Linked DNA regions of Callithrix jacchus. The main gene of each other region encodes a partner of the protein of the gene in region 4 in a complex. Links are inferred from orthologs where the notes say so. Each region holds a gene or a part of one and is shown on either strand. Other genes may lie near its edges.

Region 1 (4,311 bases), on a different chromosome or scaffold from region 4:
CAAGCTTCTCCTAACCCACTGTGGGGAGGATATGTAAACAAGTCATTAGGGAGGCAGGTCATCGGGACTGACGGCCGGCAATGGCAGAGGCTGCTAGACCTCGGTTCTGACAGAACGGTGGATGACCCAGGCCAACGTGGGTCCCACAGGGCCCTGCTACTTCGCTTTTAAAGAAGCCTCAGGGAGGAAACCGGGAGCCCGAGCCAAGGGAGGAAAATGGCCACTTTCTGCTCAACAGTCTCAAGGCTAAGGTTTTCCCATTTAGGTGGTATTCCAAAAAAAGCGCTGGTCCGGAGGTGCAAAGGGCAGGGCACATCTGCGGAGGAAACAGTCACCTTAATTACCACGTCTAGAGAAAGTGCGATTTCATTACAGCCTCCAAAACTACCGCCCAAAGAAGGAAACCAGAGAAGTGTTTTCAATTTGAAAGAGACTGGAAAGAAGCGGGTGAGAGACCGACTCTCCCGACTCTCCCCACCCTCCTGCAACTTTGGACCACAAGGTGCTTTCCTGCCTCAAAGACTATGACCAAACACAACTTGACAATCCAACCCCCGCTTTCAAACCTGTGGCCGTTATTTAAACGGTAAAATGTCCCACTTAGCTTCCGGGGATGTGGCCCAAATCAATCCTTAAAAACACAGAGAGCACCTCTGGCAACAGCCGCCCACGCCCCCCGGCCCTGCGCACCGGGCTCGCTCCGGGAGGGGAAGAAGGGGCGCGTGACGCCACCGCGGGGCGGCCGAGAGGGGACCGCGGGCTCCGGGCGGGGCAGGCGCTCCTGCAACTCCAACTGTAACTCAAGGGAAAGAAAGCAATGCTTTGGTTCCAGAAACTTCCATCGTCAAGGCCACTTCTGGCCAGACGCACGGCCAAAGAGCCCCCCTAGTCTAGCGGATGAACCGTTCGCAAGTGCTATCCCCTAAAACCTTGGCCCCATCTCCCAAGATGCCTCTTTTCTGCGCAATCCAGAAAGCACCCCGACCGCCGTCACCCACCAGCGGCGGCGAATAACTTGGTGGGAACTTAAATAACTCGGGATTCAAGGGAACTTTCTTTTCTCCCCTGAATCTCAATGCCGCATCTCCAAGTCTCCAGAAATGATGAGGAGAGAGGTGGTCAAGGCGAGTTGAAGAATCCGAGTTTTAATTTGGGGGAGGGGGAGGGGAGGAAGAGGTAAGTTAATAATGCGGCTGCGGTGTACCCGTGTGGGGTGAAACGGAACCAGATGCGGCCGCCACATCTGGAAAATGGGGATGGGGGAGGGCTAGGGGAGAACCGCACCGTGGAAATGTTCTTCAAACGGGCTGATAGCTTCTGGGCCCAGAACAAGAAACAGGCTTCACCCTCCCTCCCCCACCACCACCACACAAAGTGTCTGGCTGCCTCACAGGGGGTGTTCTATATGAACCCCATCTACAACGTCCACAAATTTCTCTGCCGACGTGGGTCGTAGCCTCCCTTTCTACCAACACCAAACATAACGGGAGGGGACGCGGAGCGCAGAGGGGTCTGGGCTAGACAAGCACACGCATCGCAGCCGAGTGAACCGCACCGGACAAAACCCACATCCCTTCCTCCACCTCCAAGAACCAGATTGGGACGGAACAGCCCCGGCCCCAGCCCCAGCCCCTGCCCCCGCCCCATACCTCGGCTTAACGACCGCGGGTCGTCCTCCCGTTCCCCAAACTTCCGACCCTTTCTGAGACCGTCCAAGTAGATCACCCCTTCTGGAAAGGGGAGTCGTTTTTCGCTTTCAGCTCAAGCAGATTCAGCCATTTGGTGACGACACCTCCTTAAAACGTATTCCAAGAGAAGCTAACCTAGCTCTCCACGTCCTCCGCATTTCATCCCCCCGCCCACTCGCCCCCCACCCGGACCCCAGACTTTCCCGGGGGTGGAAAAGGACTTAGGAATGTCACGGATTTTTAGCGTTGAGCCCAAAGCTACCTGCTGAATTGGGGTGAATCCCCAAAAGGGGACTAAGAAGAGATGGAGCGGAATGCAACACACACACACACACACACACACACACACACACCGCCCCCCTCGCCGCCCACTCCAGCCCTGTCCCTCCCGGGACTCACCGAGTAGCCGCCGCCGCCGCCTCGTCAGCTCCCGAGCGCGAGTTGGCGGAAAAGTTGGGCGGCGGGAAGACCGGCGGGACGAGCGCAGGGAGGGGGCGCAGAAGGCGACGCGGGCGGAGGGAAGGGAGGGGAGACCCAAGGGGGGCGCGGATTGCCGGGGAGGGAGCCGGGAGGTGGAGGGGGCGGGCGGCGAGCGGAGGGAGGCGCCGGCCCCGGCTGGGCTGCGGCGGGCGAAGCGCGCAGCCGGAAGGCTCCGGCGCCTGGGGCTGCTCGGGACGCTAGTCCGCCCCGGATCGGGGGCGCCGCGGCTCTTACCTCGCTCGGCGTGGAGGTTCGGCCTCGGGAGAGTCTGCCGTGGCTTGTGCGAGAGGGCGTGTGCCCGCGTCCCCGGCGCCGGCCCGCCGCCCCCGGGCTCTGTTCGGGTGCTGGCGGGGTCGCGAAAGCCCCGCGGCCGGCGCTCGACTCCCGGCAGCGCTCGGTACTCGGCGCCTCCAGCCCGAGCGGGAACAATGGAGCCGGAGCTGGTGCCCCGGAGGCGGGGCGGGGGGAGGGCTCCCGTCCGCTGCCCGGGTCTCCAGACCCTGCGCCCCCCTTCTCCGGAACGCAGCGGAGGCGCCTCACGCTCCTTGCAGACCAGGATCCATCGCCCCGCGGAGGCTCTGGCGCCGCGGCGTGCCTGACTGCAGCACGGGTACCGTGCGTCCTGCGGGGCGCCCCGAGCTCGGAGCAGAGAAAAGTCCTCGGGCTCCGCGGCTTTTCCAGCAGCGGCGCGCTCGCGGCCGGGGAAGGCGAGGTCGCCGCAATGCGCTACGCGGACTCTCGGTCCGGTCCGGTCCGGACGTGGCCGCCTAGCTCCTGGCACTGCCCGGGTTCCTCCGCGCCCTGCGGCTGCACCGGCGTCCCGGCTCCCGCTGCCTGCCGCCCGCCGCCGAGGCCGCCGAGCCTGTGGCCGCAGGAGCGCTCCGAGCGCTGTGCGCCGGCGAGGCGCGAGGGCTCGCCCTCTCACTCCCACCAGCGCTGGTCCCTCCTCCGCCTCCGCCCTCTGCCGCTGCCTGCTGGGCCTTGTAGTTCCCGAGCCGCGGCCCCCGAGGAGGGGGAGCGGGCCAAGCTGTCCTCCGCTCGGCCCTTCCCTTCCCGCAGCCTGGTCTCCTCTGGCGCTCGCGCCGCTGCATCTGAGCACGTCCCAGAGGGCGCCGGGATTTCAGGCCCTAGACACAGCAGCCGCGTGGGGGGCCAGGTGAAGAGACGCTGCAGCCCTGAGGTTGTACCTGGTAGCGTGGCCTTTGGAGTCTGTGCGCCTTGGGGAAATGATTTTCGCGCTCTAATCTCGGTTTTGCCATCTGTAAAAGGGGAATAATAGTGCTTTTCGTATAGAGTTGAGGCGTCAACGAGGGCCTGGCGCATAGTTAACACTTAATAAATACAAGCTGATTTTATTCTTGAGAAGGTCAGCCCCTCCTCAAACCCTTCCTTTGGATCTCAGCTTTCCCCAGCCACATAATTTAGGTTTTGTGGTCCACCGGGAACTGGACTCTGTAAATTCTTCAGCGATGTTGTTGGCCTCCGGAAGTCTCCAGCCTGCAGTGAACGTCTAGGAAGCAAAGAGTAAGCAGTGGGAGTTGAGGGGAGAGGTGTGGTTGGTTTGGAAATTAATCACAGCCCACTCAGAACACCCTCCAATACTATGGAACCTGGGAAAGTGGCTAAAATGCTTCCCCCTGAGTCTTCCGTGGAATGGTATAATCTAGTGGTTCCCTAATCCAAATGGACACGGGTCCTGTAAAGAACTCTTGAAAAATACAAATTCATGGGCCTGCTCAGACATGAGGAATCGCGCTGTCCCAGGAAGGAGCCAAGAATCTATGTTTTTTCCAAGGCTCCGTGGGGCCTATGATGTGAGCCCAGGCTGAGGCCACTGTTAGGGTGGGAAGCAGGAAGCTCTAGGGCTGAAGGATTCCTCCATTCTGTCCATTTATGAAGTTTGATGCAGGACAAGTCATGCATCTGATAAAATCAAAACAGGGGTATCTGTTGCTACTCCTTCACAAGATGGTCATAAGAATCAAATACAATAATAGGCATCAGTGTGCCAAAAATATTACACAAATAAATGTCACTATGTAAGTTAGTGGCAGGGCCTGTTCCCTCACCATCACCCACCTCAACCCCCAAATTTGTAAGAGTTTGAATACTGAATGAGATCCCCCACGCAACTCCTCCCCCA
Region 2 (4,505 bases), on a different chromosome or scaffold from region 4:
TTTTGAACAGTTTCCTTTTGCGTTCACTTTGGCGCATGTAAATAACGAGTCTGGCATTATTTGGGAAACTTTTGCCTTTGGGACAGCGGATTTCCCTTGATGCACCTGCTGTACACAACACTGTTGATAAGGAAATGAAAACAAGGTCCCATCTGACCCAGCCCCCCATTGAGGGTTCTGTTACTCAAGCAAGTTTCCAGAAGCAACCCAGGAGTCCTGGGACAGAACTGGAATCAGCTTCAGGGCAGCTGAGAAGATAAAGCCAGTGTACAGTGGCTTTGTAAGAGGAGATGGGGAAAGTGTCAAGTTTAAAAAGCAAGACTCACCTCTAGGAAATGGGAAAGCTCATGGTTGATGAGCTCCTTCAGTTCGGATTTCTTCAGCTTGTGCTTGTCTCCCTCCCTTCCGGAATACTGGTGGAAAACGTCGATGAGGGCCACCATGGCCTTCTCCAGCTCAGACATCCTAGGGGCTCACAAAGGAAAGATGCCTTCTCATCTATACCTCATCGTAAGCATTTCGTGTGTTATCGACACAGACCTCAACCCAGACAAGGGGGATGGGCTGGCCTTGCATTCTTTTCAAGCTCAGAGCAGCAGGCAACGCCTGGAAGGGCATTCAGGAAATTTGTGCTTTCATCACAGTCCTCCCACCTGCCTCTTAGACACATGTGGGCCTGCCTTCTCTGTCCCTCTGAGCCACAGGGATATCTTCCCATGCCCTCTGGCTTCTGGTTGGGTTGGGTGAATGGGAAAACTTCAGCAAAAATACAGAGGCAGAGCAGAAAGGGAATTCAGGGATTAATTTCTGCTTCCCGCAGGGTCCCTCTCTGTCCTTGTAAAGCTCCAAGATGAGGTGGTCGAGTGCAGGTGAGCAAAGCATGAACTGCAAGCTGGTGAGACGGTGACTAGGAGCAAAATAAGAAGACAAAAATCAACAGCATTCCTCTTTTCTATCAATAAAGAAGTAGAGAATACAGTGCAAGACACCCTTTTCATATAGCAATGACAGGTGCTGTAGGAGTAAGTTTAGGAGGAAAAATGCAGGTGCTTCCAAGAGATTCTGAGAAACATAAAACGTAGGAACTTTTTCCTTTAAATTCAAATGTAAATTTAAATCATCTTTAATAAAAATAATGGAATTTTTTGGGTGGGTGACATGACAAAAACAGCTGTAAAATTCATCAGGACAAATAAATATGGTAGAATTGCCACGATCTTTTTGAAGAATAACAATAAAAGGTAACTGACCTACCAGGAAAAAAAAAAATGTATCTTAAGTTTAATTGATTAAATGGGTGTGGTTCTGTCGCAGGGAAGGACAGAACCCAGCAGAAAGCTGAGCTGCTGAGCAAGCATTCCACCTCCCGTGCAGGGAAATGGTGGCTCATTCACTGCGGTAACTGGGACGGTACAGGAATATGCTTCTCTGCCGCAATCTCAGTAAGAGCCCTCCTGCTCCCTCACAGCAAGTACCGTACGTCACAGCCTACAAACCAAGGAAATACCTGGTCAGTCTGGGAATGAGGCGCATTTTACAAAGGATGCCTTGTCAGTTGTTTCACTGAACAGACGCGCAGGCAGAGAGATTTACCAGCTTTTGGCCTCGGATTCTAATCATTAAATGAGAACATTTGCACTGTTATAATTAAAAATAAATTAATAAATCAAATATTATCAAAAATCATTCCTATGTTGAATAGATCACTTACATCTTAAAAATAATTTGGAATTAGATGTAAAAATTTTTATTTATTTCTGATCCTCCAAAGGAAACAGGACTGGAGATTTTTTTATACTGGCCAGATCTTTGCTAAAGTCATTGTATTAATAATCAGTATACTTCACAAATAGAACAGCTAAGAGGGATTAAAATTTTTTAGCATTTCATGTTTTCTTATTCTTTGCACTAAAATGTTCGGTTATTGATGTGTATGTGTGCGTGTGCGTGTGTGTATTTTAAAAAACCACACAAAACAAAATACACTTTTGCATCATTCTGATGCTCCTCAAAGTTGGTGATGATTTAGGGAAAAGGAGGTTAAATTGTTTTTCTGCGAATTATGACTAATGGGATTTTTACAAAGGAAAGGCATAAAACATGTATTCCATATATTAGAACCCTAATAGAAACCACTAGAAAATACGGTTTTCTTCATAACCACACTACAAATCAATTAAAAAATTTTTGTTAAATTTTTCCCTTTGACTTAAGAAACAGTTGATGGTTTACAGTTTATCTTGTAAGATAAATGGAAATAAATATCCATTTCTTTCTTACATTCTGTAGATGTTCTACATTAACCTTCTAATATTGAGAACAAGAGAATATTTGAACTTTAACTCCTTCGACAGTTTAGCTAGTGCGTGAAGATCCCTCTAAAGAAGGGGTTCGACTCCCTGAGAAACTGTAAGACTGAGGAAAGTTAAAACTCGCCAAAACTCCACTTTCTTGGACCCAATTTATCTGTAATTGTTATGTAATTTCTGAGTGGTGTCCTGGGGCTGCGGGGACCCTGGCTTTTTAAACTGAGGGAAACTGGAAAACTGAAGTTACTTACCCAGGGCGGTGGAAGAAGTAAGAGGGAGAAAAGGAAAGCATTTATTTATGATATAGGACTAAACTAGCATTAGATTCTCTCTCATTTTCAGCCCCAGTGGGAAACAAAAACCTTGCTCTTCAAATCGTTACAGAAGAGGCAGTGTTTGTAGTATCACTGGGAAAATGTCAACAATCACTTCTGGACCATGAGAGCTGAGGTTTCTCTGATTTATGGCAAAACACAGGCAAACAGCTCTGGCTGTCTAGGGCTGGTGCGGTCGGGTGTCCACAAAGCAGCAATGAAGTGGAGATTAAAGCACATCGTGCTATTGACCCTTCTGAAATGCTGCCAATTATCCTAAAGGGATAGTTTCTACCCCTCCTCCACCACCCTGTTCCACCCAAAACAAAACCATTTCTTCCTGAGCGTCCTCCTGGCCTGGCTCTCTCACCTCTTCCGCGTCTCACCCTTCCTTGTCTCCTTGCTGCAGGCCTCGTCTCTGCTGCCGGTCCTGGAGGGCAGGACTGGTGCACAGGGGCAACCTCTTATCCCCTCTGCCCAGGGAGGACGGATGAACCCAGGTGCAGCCCACTGCAGGCTGTGACAGCCAATGGGGGCCGAGGGTGGGGGCGGCAGGGCTGCCAGGCTGGCACACAGGGCTGCATTGACCAAGCAGCCCGGGGACTTGCCAGGAGCCAGGATTGCACACGGGCTGAGGAAGAAGAAGGGCCTGTGGGGCAGGAAGTGGGGAGTCAGCTTTTTGTGCTATTTATTTGTTACATGAATATTGATGTTCTGCTGAAGGCAAGGTTGGGGGTGGAGAGAGAGAGACTTGGGCTAATTGATTCAAACAAAGCAAATGTGCAGCCAAGAACCAGAAGCTTCCAAGTACAGGCTGAGCGTAGGAGAGTAGGTGGCCTGCGATCTGGCTTCCGATGGAGAGACCCCTGGAGCCTCTCTCCTCTGCCAGCCTCCATGGCTGGCCCCACTGGGCGCGGGCTTCTGTGGACAGTAGTGCTTGTCCGTGGTCAGCCCTGGGTTCAACAGGGCTGCCTCACAGAAGCTGCTGAGCCCCGTGTCTGCAGGGACTGAAATGTGTGGTACTTTGAGGGGAAAGTCCTTGTTTAGCGTGATGTGGATTGTATCCCAAGGCCTTATGCTCCACCCCAGTGTGGAAGGTCACAGACCGGCAGAGTCGCACAATGCCTTAGAGATGCCCTATCCGAACGCTGTTTTACAGAGGTGTGTGGATGCTGTGCCCCTTGCCGAAGCCTCGAAGGAGAAATCCAGTCGTCCCCTCTATGTGCCCTATGTGAGTCTCTGAGTGCAGGGGCCAGTTTGCGGGTTCTTCACAGGAGGGAAGAAGTGGGCGTGCCTTCTGACAAATCACACAAAAGCATTGGCCCAAACTCTCCACACATGTCCATGGGCCCCAAAGGATGCCTGACCCTGCGTCAGGTCCTTCTCCCCACCCAGTTTCAAAGTGGTTGTGGAAGGGTTTCCCACAAGATACCTGTGTACATGGCTGTTTTGCTGTCACCTGTTTTATCTAGAAAGTTCTCTCATTCAGCATCCGTAAGTGTGCCCTGGAAACAGCACGGGGCTGAAAGCTGTGGTCTTGCATGGCTGAGCATGCCCCAGCCTCCTGTGAGGAAGGACCTGAGCAGGGTGGTTGGGCCTCATTTCCTCATCTTCCTGCTGAAGAATCCGACACAGGCTTGCTCTGTGAAGCACGGAGCTTGCCCAGGCCTGAGGAAGGCGCGGCTGTGCTCTATGCCGCTTCCTCGCTCAGACGTTGGAGGGACCATTCCTGAAAGCCTTGACCACTTCCCCTGAGTGGCAACTTGAACTCTGGATTCACCTTCAGAATCCATAGGAAACTCTTAAGCCTGCTCCTGCAGGGATTAAAAATAGTTTGAAATCCACTCAGGCAATGACTGTACCCCTGCGCCTCGGGCACTGT
Region 3 (4,573 bases), on a different chromosome or scaffold from region 4:
TGTCCTGAGGTGTCTGTTAATATAGGCTCTGGGACTGATTCAGGTTAGAGGCCCCGACCAAAAACACCCTCCCACCAAGCATATGGAGGCATCATTTTGTTTAAGAGCCAGTTTTTATTTTGTTGCCATCAAACTCCCCAAATCCAATATTACAGCCTTTTGCGTGAGGCAGTTAAAGGGATTGATTTGTCGTGTGGCTTTTAAGTAACTCGCATCAATGTTTTCTGTGCTATACTGTGAATAAAAATGATTTTCTAATCATGTGGCACCTTGAAAAAAAATTTTTGTAAATGTTAGGAAGTATGCAATGCTAGTGACGCAGGTGCAAATATGTTTCTAAGGGCAGGAAAAGTCTGTTTTCCAAGTCAGGTTTGTTCTCAATGCTTCATCTATCTTCAGGCCTCAAAAGGATTCTAAAGCATTTCTGGGTTTAGTGACCTTTTCTAAAGAAAAATAATTAAGGTTTTAATCTATACCGTCTTGAACCGAGCACGGCTGCTCTGGAGCTGGATGAATAAGGAGGAAGAAAAAGCATATTTAAAATGAATGAATCCGAAGACACGGCTTAGGGAAAAGGGTAAATGGAAATAGGAACTTTAGCCAGTTACAGCTTGGTGTGGACTTGAAGAATCAGATTTTGCATTTATGATTTTGAATCTAGGATTCAGAGGGAGGAATTAGCTTGCTCAAGATCAGCTACTTATGGCAGAGTTGAATCTTTAGACTTCTTTGAATTTCTTTTAATTAATCCAAACATATACTACTAAACACTTATTTTTTTGAATGCAATTTTTGGCTTTTTCTGAGAGAGCCACATTCAAAGTCAGGCTCTCTCAATAGCCAGCTGTGTGATCCTAGGCAAATTACTGAACATCTCTGATCTTCAGTTTCCTTATCAGAAACTGGGAATATTACTCTGCAGGGTGGTTGGGCAGGCGAAATAGAATCACCTATGTAGTGTGACCCGCCCATAGTAGGGCCCCCATTAATATTCAGTTTTTTCCTCTCATTTCTGTTGTTTAGAAAGACAGAAAAATGCAATGTCCTGCGAACATTTCCAGGCTGCTTCCTCTCCTCCGAAAGCTTCAGTTGCCTGACAACCCTCCCCGCAGTACCAAAAGCAGACCCATTTTAAAGTCTCTTTAGGGGGTGGGCAGGGTTAGAGCCTTCGGTCACTTGTACTTAACGCGGCCGCTCCGGGAGCCGCTGGCCAGCCGCGCTCGCCCGAGGAAGAGGGAGGAGGTCGCGCGGGGCGCGGGACCAGGCCTTATTCGGAGGCTGTCGCTGCATCCCCACGGCCGGATCGCGGCTGGGCCCTCGCCTCCCCGGCCCGTGTCTCGGGCGAGGGCTCGGAGGCGTCGTGAGCCGCGCGGGGCTCGGGGCGGCCCGGGTGCGCGGCGCTGATTGGCAGAGCGGGCGCCGCCGTCCAGGAAACGGCTCGGGTTTCAGCGGGGGCGTGACCCGCCGGGAGGAGGCGGCGGCGGCGGCGCGGGCGGCGGCCGCAGGAGAGCGCGGTGGAGAGCCGAGCGGGCGGGCGGTGGGTGCGGAGCGGACGAGCGAGCGCGCGCGGCAGCCACAAAGCTCGGGCGCCGCGGGGCTGCATGCGGCGTACCTGGCCAGGCGCGGGGACTGCTCTCCGGGCTGGCGGGGGCCGGCCGCGCGCCCCGGGGGCCCAGAGGCCGCAGCTTGCCTGCGCGCTCTGAGCCTTCGCAACTCGCGAGCAAAGTTTGGTGGAGGCAACGCCAAGCCTGAGTCCTTTCTTCCTGTGGCTCCCCAAATCCGAGGGCAGCCCGCAAGCGTCATGCCCGCGCTCCTCCGCAGCCTGTGGTGCGCGTGAAGTCCGGGAGCCTTGGCGCGGGCGAAGACCTGGGGATCCCTCTTCTGCTTTTGGAGTTGCTCCCCGCAACCCCGGGCTCGTCGCTTTCTCCATCCCGACCCACGCGGGGCGCGGGGACAACACAGATCGCGGAGGAGCGTTGCCATTCAAGGTAATCGCCGCGGAAGACGCCTCTGGGAGCTTCTCCGCCAGCGGGGGAAGTGAGCGCCAAGGGAGCCCGGGACGTCGGGTGCAGCGTCCTCCGGGCGGGGGGCGCGGAAGGACTGGCATTGTGGGGGACGCCCCCTGGCCTTCCTAGGTGGCTGCATAGGTGATGGGGAGGTGGGTGCGTGCTGACGGCCCTTGTTGGGGAAGTTCTGCCTTTGCCACCTTCATCCAGATGCTGACATCTGCCTCTGGTGCAGACGCCCCCCTCCCTGTCAAACCCTGGCGGGCGCTTTCCCTCTGGCTGGGCGCGTTCCTCCAACCCCAGAGCAGACGGGCGGAGGGTTCGCCTGCCGATGGCACAGCCCCGCAGCCCGGGTCCCGCGGAGCATCTCCGAGGTGCCCCATCCGCGGGTCCTGGGAGCTTCCGTACCATCCAGGCCCCGCGGAGACCCCTGTCTCGGGAGGGGGCAGCTGGGGTGGGGCCGCTGACATCCCGTAGGGGTGGTGATGGCCAGGCGTGGCACTGTTGGGGAGGCGGCGGCTCCGGTGCCCGGTTTTCGATGCCTGGGCGCCCCTAGCCCGCAGCCGCTGTAGGCGCTGGAGGGAGCGCAGCGCGCCTGGGGCTAGGGGGCGAACTGGACCGACTTTTTCTAGTTCGCCTGCCTGCTCTGCCGCAGCGGCTGGGAGATGTCGAAAGCGCAGGCGAGTTCTAACTTGCGCGCTCATTCTTTCGGCGACTGGGCCGCGCTGGGGAAATCAGCCGAGGGCCCTGCGTGGCGCTGGCTCCGACCCTCGCGGCCCGCGGACCTGGCGCAGGAGGCCGGCCCGGGGGCCACTAGCCTCGGTCGCTCCCCTCACAGCCCGCTCCCTTGCAAACCGTTCTCCAGACCTTCTTTCCTTTCTCCCAATTCAATCAAACCTACCGTTAAAGGCAAACCTGCTTTGAAACTCAGGGCACCCATTATGTGTTTGGTGTGAAATGCTATCAACATTTAAAACTTCATTGTCCCCGGGTCCCAAATCCGTGTAAATCTTCCACCGGCCTCGACTCATTTTCATCTGAAAAGCCTGTTTAGTTTGAATAGAAAAGCAATCAGGCGCCCCTCTCCCTCTCCCTGGAATGTCAATTAAAATGCAGATTTCTCTGAGCTCTTTAGCGCCCCGAGAAGGGGGAGAAAAACAGGATATTTCGGGCAAACAAATGAAAGAAGTGCTGTCCCGAAAGGGGTGGTGGTGGGGAGCACCCCCAAGCTGCCTGCGAGTTCTGATTGGACGCAAGCATGAAACTGGGAGGGTATTGGGGTCCTGGCCCAGTTTGTGATTTTTGAGATTTCGATTTGTTGAGGAATTTCTCCCCTAGACTTGACCCCTTGACAGCTCCCTTTCCTCCTCAGCTGGGAAGAGGTAGGGAGGCCTTAAGCGAAGAGATGGGTCTGCGCTTTGGAGGAGCCGGGCACTGTGACTTTCCTGATGTGAAATCTACCCAGGAACAAAACAGCAGTGTTCCCTGTGGCCGAGCCAGCAGTGGACCTATCACCTCTTACGTGGAAGCCCAAAGCGGAGGGCTCTGTACTGGCCTGCCTTCTTAGAGGGTCGGGATTTTGGAAATATGGTAAAATTGAAGAGTGCAGCACAGGCCTGGCATGGGGACCACTCCGCAGCCAAGCCCTTCCTGCTTGTCACTCTGCCTGTCTTTGGGGGCAGGCTTGTGCCGAGGTGAAAATGGACGGGGTGGAGGGAGGGTGGGGGGCGGGCGGCCGAGAAGAGCCATCCATCAGAGGGAGGGTGACAACGCCTCCCGCGTGCGGGCTGAGAAGAGAGTTCCCTTTCAAGGGGAAAAATAAACACGCTGGGGCTTTCACTGGGGCTCAGACTCCAGGAAGGATTATGGTATTGAAGGCAGGAAGCCGGGATTGTGGCCGCCAGCGGCATGCTGGGCCTGTGTTCCCAACACCGAGCCTGGGGACCTAATTATCCTGCCTAGGAGGTCGTACCATACTTTTGTCCACTCGGTGAGGAACTGTGAAGACCTGTCGCCTTAGGTCTCCACCTTCCAGAGGTTTGGGGAGGGGGCTGCTGTGGAGCTTGGACCTGGAAATGGCTGAAATGCAAATCTCCAGTGCGGGCTAGCGGGATGTTGGAATGGCTTGAGATTCAGTGGACGGCCCTGTCCACCTTTCTCTGCCTGAAGCTAACAAGGTTCCTCTGGCATGGACAGGTGGGCGAGGAGGCTGGGGAAGGAGCCTGGGGCGAAACCTCTGCCAGGACTCAGGATTGTTCCTGAAGTCGTGTTAAAGGTAGAAAATTCCCCTGCATTCTGGAAATGCTTAGTAAATCAATGAGAATGTGTACTTTCCTCCCACATGTATGTAGAAATAGATCTGAAATTATCTTTTCAGGCTCTTGACTTTAAGAGGAAAGAAAAGTTAGGAGGAAAAATCCTTCGAGCAATCTGAAAGCACACGTACACACCATGCACACACACGCACTGTGTAGACACACAAGCTGCACACATACTTTTCTTGCTTTTGCTGTGAATCACACCGTTTCACCTGTGCTACCTTTGAAGCAGAGGTTTTCTTTATTCCT
Region 4 (4,473 bases):
GGTGACTGCTGCACCAAAATCTCACAATCACCACTAAAGAACTTACTCATGTAACCAATTACCACCTGTTCCCCAAAACCCTATAGAAATAAAAAGTATTTTTTAAAAATTGGTAGTCTCTACAAGTCTGGATGGGTTATTCTACTTTTCCCTTTTAACATCCTGTCCTTAGCTAGTTATAAAGTTGGCAGAGTTCTCAACCTGAGCACTGATGACATTTGGGGTCAAAAATTTTGTGTGTGTGGATATTATCCTGTGCATTGTAGAAGTTTAGCAGCAACCCTGGTCTCTACCTGTTAGATGCCAGTAGCACCCTTTCCGGGTTAGGGTAACCAAAACTGTCTCCAGGCACTGTCAAATGTCCCCTGGGAGGCAAAATCACTTGAGAACCACAGAGTTAAAGTAAGATTACACAAATGAAAACCCAGCTCACAGTTAGGAAGAAAAACTTAACAGCTGTTTTTAAAAGGGTAGTAATGTGATATATAATTCAAAATTATGTCCACTGGCTAGCCTCTATATAGTCTTATTCTAAGAAGAATCGGTATCAAAATCTTCAAGAAAAAAAGGATTCAGCAACTAACAGAGTTTGAAAACAAGAGTATTAGGGGAAGCCCCAAATATTACTTCATCTAGAGAATTCTTCTGTCCTCTGGTCATAATACATGCTTTTTAGTTAATAGTTTGTGATACTAGAAAAGGACAAAACTAATGGGGACACAGAGCACTTTGCCCTCCTCAGCTGAGATGGCCTAGCAGACAGCTGCAGAACAAATTTCAATCACAAAGATAATGTTGTGAAACAGATACTCAAGTTACCAGAATAGAGAAATAGCACAAACCCATGTAATAGGTTGCAAGCATGTTTTACGGGATAAAGTGATTTAATTTTTAAATTATGGCAGGCCTGAAAAAAAATTAAAGACTTGCCTTTCTTGCTGGTTGCTATTTTGGAAGCAATAAAGACACAGCTCATATAAAACTGTATTTCTTCTGCCAATTCACGTTTGGCTGTAGAATTTTCTCCTCTTCCCTCTCCGGGCTCTTGACATCCCGCTAGCATCCCAAGACAAAGGCAGAACTACAGGGGAGTGGCGCTCAGACCCCTGTGGGTCTTTTCTCAGGCAGAGAGAGAATCAGATTCTCCACCTGGAACCCATAGAGGAAGGATCGCCAGAACACACAGCTTTTAAAACATATCTTTACCCACACGTACAGAAGGACAGGTTAAAATATATTCTAGTCCTCTTTCTCTCACTTCAAATTCCATCAGTGTTGTAAATTGGCTCATCCTACGCCCCTTTCTTCTTTCCTTTAGACCAGTGGCTCTCAAAGTTGGATGTGATCAGCATCCCCGGGGAACAGGTTAGAAATGCAAATCTTCAGCCCCTACTCCAGACTTAGGGACTCCCCTAAAGTCCAGGAACCCCTGATTTAGGCCAGTGTTCTTTCTAGAATCATAAAAATTGTTTCTTAGAGAAAGCAAAACTGCAATTCTCATTCCATCCTCAAACCTGCTGCAAGGTAGGTATTAGCCCCACGTTAGGGATGAGGAAACCGGCTCTGGGGTTACAAGTCGGCCCAAGGTCTCAAAGCTAGTCACTGCACGGGGAAGGTTAAAGTGTTTGCACTTCTTTTCACTACTGAAACAAATTTATCGCAAGTTGTTAACATCTGGATTTCTTGCTGGTTGGCTGGTTGGGTTTTGTTTTTGCTCTTTCAGCTTTCGTCAATTCGGAAAAATATAAAACCGAGTGGGTGAGAGGAGTGTGCCACATGCCTCGGTTCTTCCCGAGTCGGAATTTAAGGGCAGGACTCTGGAAAGGTGTTTTTCCAGTAAAGATCGTTTTGTTCTGCTGCGGCCCGTCCTGTCTTTGAGGGAAATACACTCTGTCCCCCACAGCAGACACACAAGCGGCCAGAGCTGCACGGCGGGGCCGCGGGCATCCCGACGCGACAGGTTGTCTGCGGGAAGGGAGCCCGTCAGCCGGGGCCCGGCGCGCCGCGGCTCGGGGCTGGGGAGACTGGTTTACGGGGCAAACTGGAACACCCCAAAGCCCGGGGGACGCCCGGGCCTACGCCGCAGCTCGGGAAGGAGGGGGCGAGTGGTGAACCCGAAACCGCTGAGGGCCGCGCGGCCAGAAACCACACGGACCGCTAGGGTGGCAATGAAGATCCGGGAGGAGCGCGCAGGCTGTAGAGGAGAGAGTGGGCGAGGACCCGGGAAATGGAAATGGGGCGGGGAGAACGGGCCGGCACTCACTGTGAGGGTCGCTCTTCTCCCGGACCCCGTCCACTCGGCCGTCGGGGTGGATTCGCAGGAAGAAGCCCCCGTTTTTGCAGTACAGCCGCTTGGGGTCTTTGAAGTGGCCGGGCGGGAAGGCGCCGCTACCGCCGTCCTCGGGCAGGGCGGGCAGCGTGGTGATGCTCCCGGCTGCCATGGTCCCTCCGGGACCCTGCCGGGGACCCCGAGCCGCTGGAGCCGAGCGGGGAGCCGCCGCCCCCCGGCCACGGCCCCGGCCTCCGACCCGCTCCAGGGCACGGCCCCGGCCCCGGCCCCCCAGCCTCCCGCCCGGCAGTGCGCGGCCGCGCCCGCGGGCCCCCAGCCTCGCGCCGCTTGGCCGCTCTTCTGTCCGCCGGCCTCTGGTGCGCCGCGAGCCGGCGGCCCGAAAGCTGGGGTTCAGGAAAGGGTGTTTCCGCGGCCGGCGCCTGGGGAGAGCCGCCCAGCAAACTGCAGCGCCCGGGATCCCGTTGCAACCGCGGGCACCGCGTCCGCTGATCTGGCACCCGCCGGGCCGCGGCGTCACATCTTCTACATCTCCACCCCCGACACCCACCAGCCACCCGCGCCCCCGGCTCTCCTCCCTCCTGCGCGCCGCCCCCCTACTCGCTCGGGGTTTTCTGGGGCCGGCCTCTGAGTCCGGCGCTTCGGCCACAACACGCAAGCGCGACATCTGTCCCGGGGACAGCCGGGTGGGGGAGGGGCGGGGGGCGCGCCGGAGGCCGCAGCAGGACCCCGGTAGTCCCGGGGCTCCACGGTCCCTTGTCCCCCAGAAGTCACCCCCGCCCAACCCCGCACCACCCAAACCATGTTTAGGCTTTCTCTACACTGCGGGGCTTTTGCTGCGCAACCAGCCGTGACTCAACTTTTAAAAGTTTAAATACAACTTTCTCCCCCATTTTTTCCCTTGCTAGCGTTTCAAAACGGGGAAGCTGTTTCCACCCCAAAGTAGAGAAGTCGGAATCCAGGGAAGATTCTGTGTCAGAACAGGCTCTGAAAATCTCTAAATCACCAAAAGACGAGGGGTACACGTGGGGCATGAACTGTTTAAAAATAAAGGACAGAGACTAAAGTCGTCTATCAACAAAAGGAAAGAAAGAGGCCAGAGAAGGGAAGCAGATTGGGTTACTGACCCAACTTGAATTAGACAACACAGAAAGGTGAGGATGAGGCCCAAATCCTTATCGCGATAGAAGCGCATTAATGTCTTAACTCGGAGCTGGCATTTGCCCTAGCTGAATTGTTAATACATTTCTTGGAGACAGAGTTAATTTCTGTAAATCCCAAATGTAAATTTGAAGTTTCTTGCATTTTGGTAATTTTCAGTAGGATATAGCAGGTGCGACAGATGATTAGCAAACTTGCAGGGCTTTTGCTGCGCAATCAGCCGTGACTCAACTTTTAAAGGTTTAAATACAACTTTCTCCCCCATTTTTTCCCTTGCTAGCGTTTCCAAACTTGCTAATCATCTGTAGCACCTGCTATATCCTACTGAAAATTACTGTTTCACTCAGTGAGGGAGATAAGATGGGTAGCATGAGTAACACAAATACCAGTAGAAAGTAACTAGACCATAGAAGAGTAAGACTATGTGCTGTGACATTTCAGACATGGGGTAACTCAGTTGGGGAAGCAGGAGATTTAGGGAAGCTTCTAGAAGGAGTTGCAAGTGCTTCCTTGTAGAAACATTAGGTTTCAAAAGGTCATGTATAAGTGCATTTTTCTCAAATCTCCAAGAGGGCTTTAACTCCAGATTCATTTCTAGAATGTTAAATATAGGAGTGTGAGTAAATTCTCCGAAGCTTTAAAACCAGGCATACTCTTCTTTCTTCTTGCAGCTAGTGTATGTTCTATAGAGAAGGGGGAAAAAAAATTCCTCATTCATTACTAGGTTTATGGCTGAAGCTCCTGTAGCAACAGACACATTAACAAGAGAAAAACATACTAATTTGTTTATATAAGTTTTACACAAAACAGGAGCCTTCAGAAATGAAGACCCAAAGTTAATAGAGAAACCTGTGTATTTTTAAGGCTAGGACTGATAAAGAAGTGGAAGTCATAGAGAAGTATGATTGGACAAATATCTATGATCTAATGGTAATAAACTGGGGAGACTTACTTGGAAAGGCCTGTTTGTTCAGATGCTTCTCCCTGTACCTGTGTCTTCAGAGATAAGGATATCCCTTTCCTCC

What was found. Proteins that work in one complex are often made in the same cells at the same time.
Region 1: the proteins of FGF2 (region 4) and FGFR1 are in contact, whole or in part, in a crystal structure (PDB 1CVS), measured with the Homo sapiens proteins. The link is inferred for Callithrix jacchus from reciprocal best matches to the Homo sapiens genes FGF2 and FGFR1. Residues at the interface, in NP_001997.5 of Homo sapiens: His158, Phe159, Lys160, Lys163, Tyr166, Gly170, Phe173, Arg186, Lys188, Leu197, Gln198, Ala199, Glu200, Glu201, Arg202, Gly203, Val205, Ser206, Tyr215, Val230, Glu238, Leu240, Asn243, Asn244, Tyr245, Asn246, Leu282, Pro283, Met284; in NP_075598.2 of Homo sapiens: Glu162, Lys163, Leu165, His166, Ala167, Val168, Pro169, Ala170, Asp246, Val248, Arg250, Ser251, Pro252, Val279, Ser281, Asp282, Pro283, Gln284, Pro285, His286, Ile287, Ala314, Gly315, Val316, Thr319, Asp320, Glu324, Gly344, Asn345, Ser346.
Region 2: the proteins of FGF2 (region 4) and S100B are in contact, whole or in part, in an NMR structure (PDB 2M49), measured with the Homo sapiens proteins. The link is inferred for Callithrix jacchus from reciprocal best matches to the Homo sapiens genes FGF2 and S100B. Residues at the interface, in NP_001997.5 of Homo sapiens: Arg164, Tyr166, Cys167, Lys168, Asn169, Gly170, Gly171, Phe173, Arg186, Lys188, Asn243, Asn244, Tyr245, Arg262, Lys267, Gly275, Gln276, Lys277, Ala278, Leu282, Met284; in NP_006263.1 of Homo sapiens: Glu47, Ile48, Lys49, Glu50, Gln51, Glu52, Asp55, Lys56, Cys85, Phe88, Phe89, Glu90, His91, Glu92.
Region 3: the proteins of FGF2 (region 4) and FGFR2 are in contact, whole or in part, in a crystal structure (PDB 1II4), measured with the Homo sapiens proteins. The link is inferred for Callithrix jacchus from reciprocal best matches to the Homo sapiens genes FGF2 and FGFR2. Residues at the interface, in NP_001997.5 of Homo sapiens: Phe154, Pro155, Pro156, Gly157, His158, Phe159, Lys160, Lys163, Tyr166, Lys168, Gly170, Gly171, Phe173, Arg186, Leu197, Gln198, Ala199, Glu200, Glu201, Arg202, Gly203, Val205, Ser206, Tyr215, Val230, Phe235, Glu238, Leu240, Asn243, Asn244; in NP_000132.3 of Homo sapiens: Glu163, Lys164, Leu166, His167, Ala168, Val169, Pro170, Ala171, Asn173, Asp247, Val249, Glu250, Arg251, Pro253, Ile257, Lys279, Val280, Tyr281, Ser282, Asp283, Ala284, Gln285, Pro286, His287, Ile288, Ala315, Gly316, Val317, Thr319, Thr320.

Annotation. Positions count from the first base shown.
Region 1 is NC_133514.1:39,299,005-39,303,315, forward strand, and holds the start of FGFR1 (fibroblast growth factor receptor 1), read right to left. Parts: upstream 3,063-4,311; 5' UTR 2,403-3,062; exon of another isoform or gene 2,088-2,402; intron 1,811-2,087; exon of another isoform or gene 1,650-1,810; intron 1-1,649. UniProt on the Homo sapiens protein: Tyrosine-protein kinase that acts as a cell-surface receptor for fibroblast growth factors and plays an essential role in the regulation of embryonic development, cell proliferation, differentiation and migration.
Region 2 is NC_133522.1:52,191,795-52,196,299, forward strand, and holds the start of S100B (protein S100-B), read right to left. Parts: upstream 3,063-4,505; 5' UTR 2,994-3,062; intron 908-2,993; 5' UTR 465-907; coding exon 327-464; intron 1-326. UniProt on the Homo sapiens protein: Small zinc- and- and calcium-binding protein that is highly expressed in astrocytes and constitutes one of the most abundant soluble proteins in brain.
Region 3 is NC_133513.1:115,006,010-115,010,582, reverse strand, and holds the start of FGFR2 (fibroblast growth factor receptor 2), read left to right. Parts: upstream 1-1,511; 5' UTR 1,512-1,988; intron 1,989-3,310; exon of another isoform or gene 3,311-3,700; intron 3,701-3,854; exon of another isoform or gene 3,855-4,281; intron 4,282-4,573. UniProt on the Homo sapiens protein: Tyrosine-protein kinase that acts as a cell-surface receptor for fibroblast growth factors and plays an essential role in the regulation of cell proliferation, differentiation, migration and apoptosis, and in the regulation of embryonic development.
Region 4 is NC_133504.1:74,800,912-74,805,384, forward strand, and holds the start of FGF2 (fibroblast growth factor 2), read right to left. Parts: upstream 2,972-4,473; 5' UTR 2,955-2,971; coding exon 2,264-2,954; intron 1-2,263. UniProt on the Homo sapiens protein: Acts as a ligand for FGFR1, FGFR2, FGFR3 and FGFR4. Also acts as an integrin ligand which is required for FGF2 signaling. Binds to integrin ITGAV:ITGB3.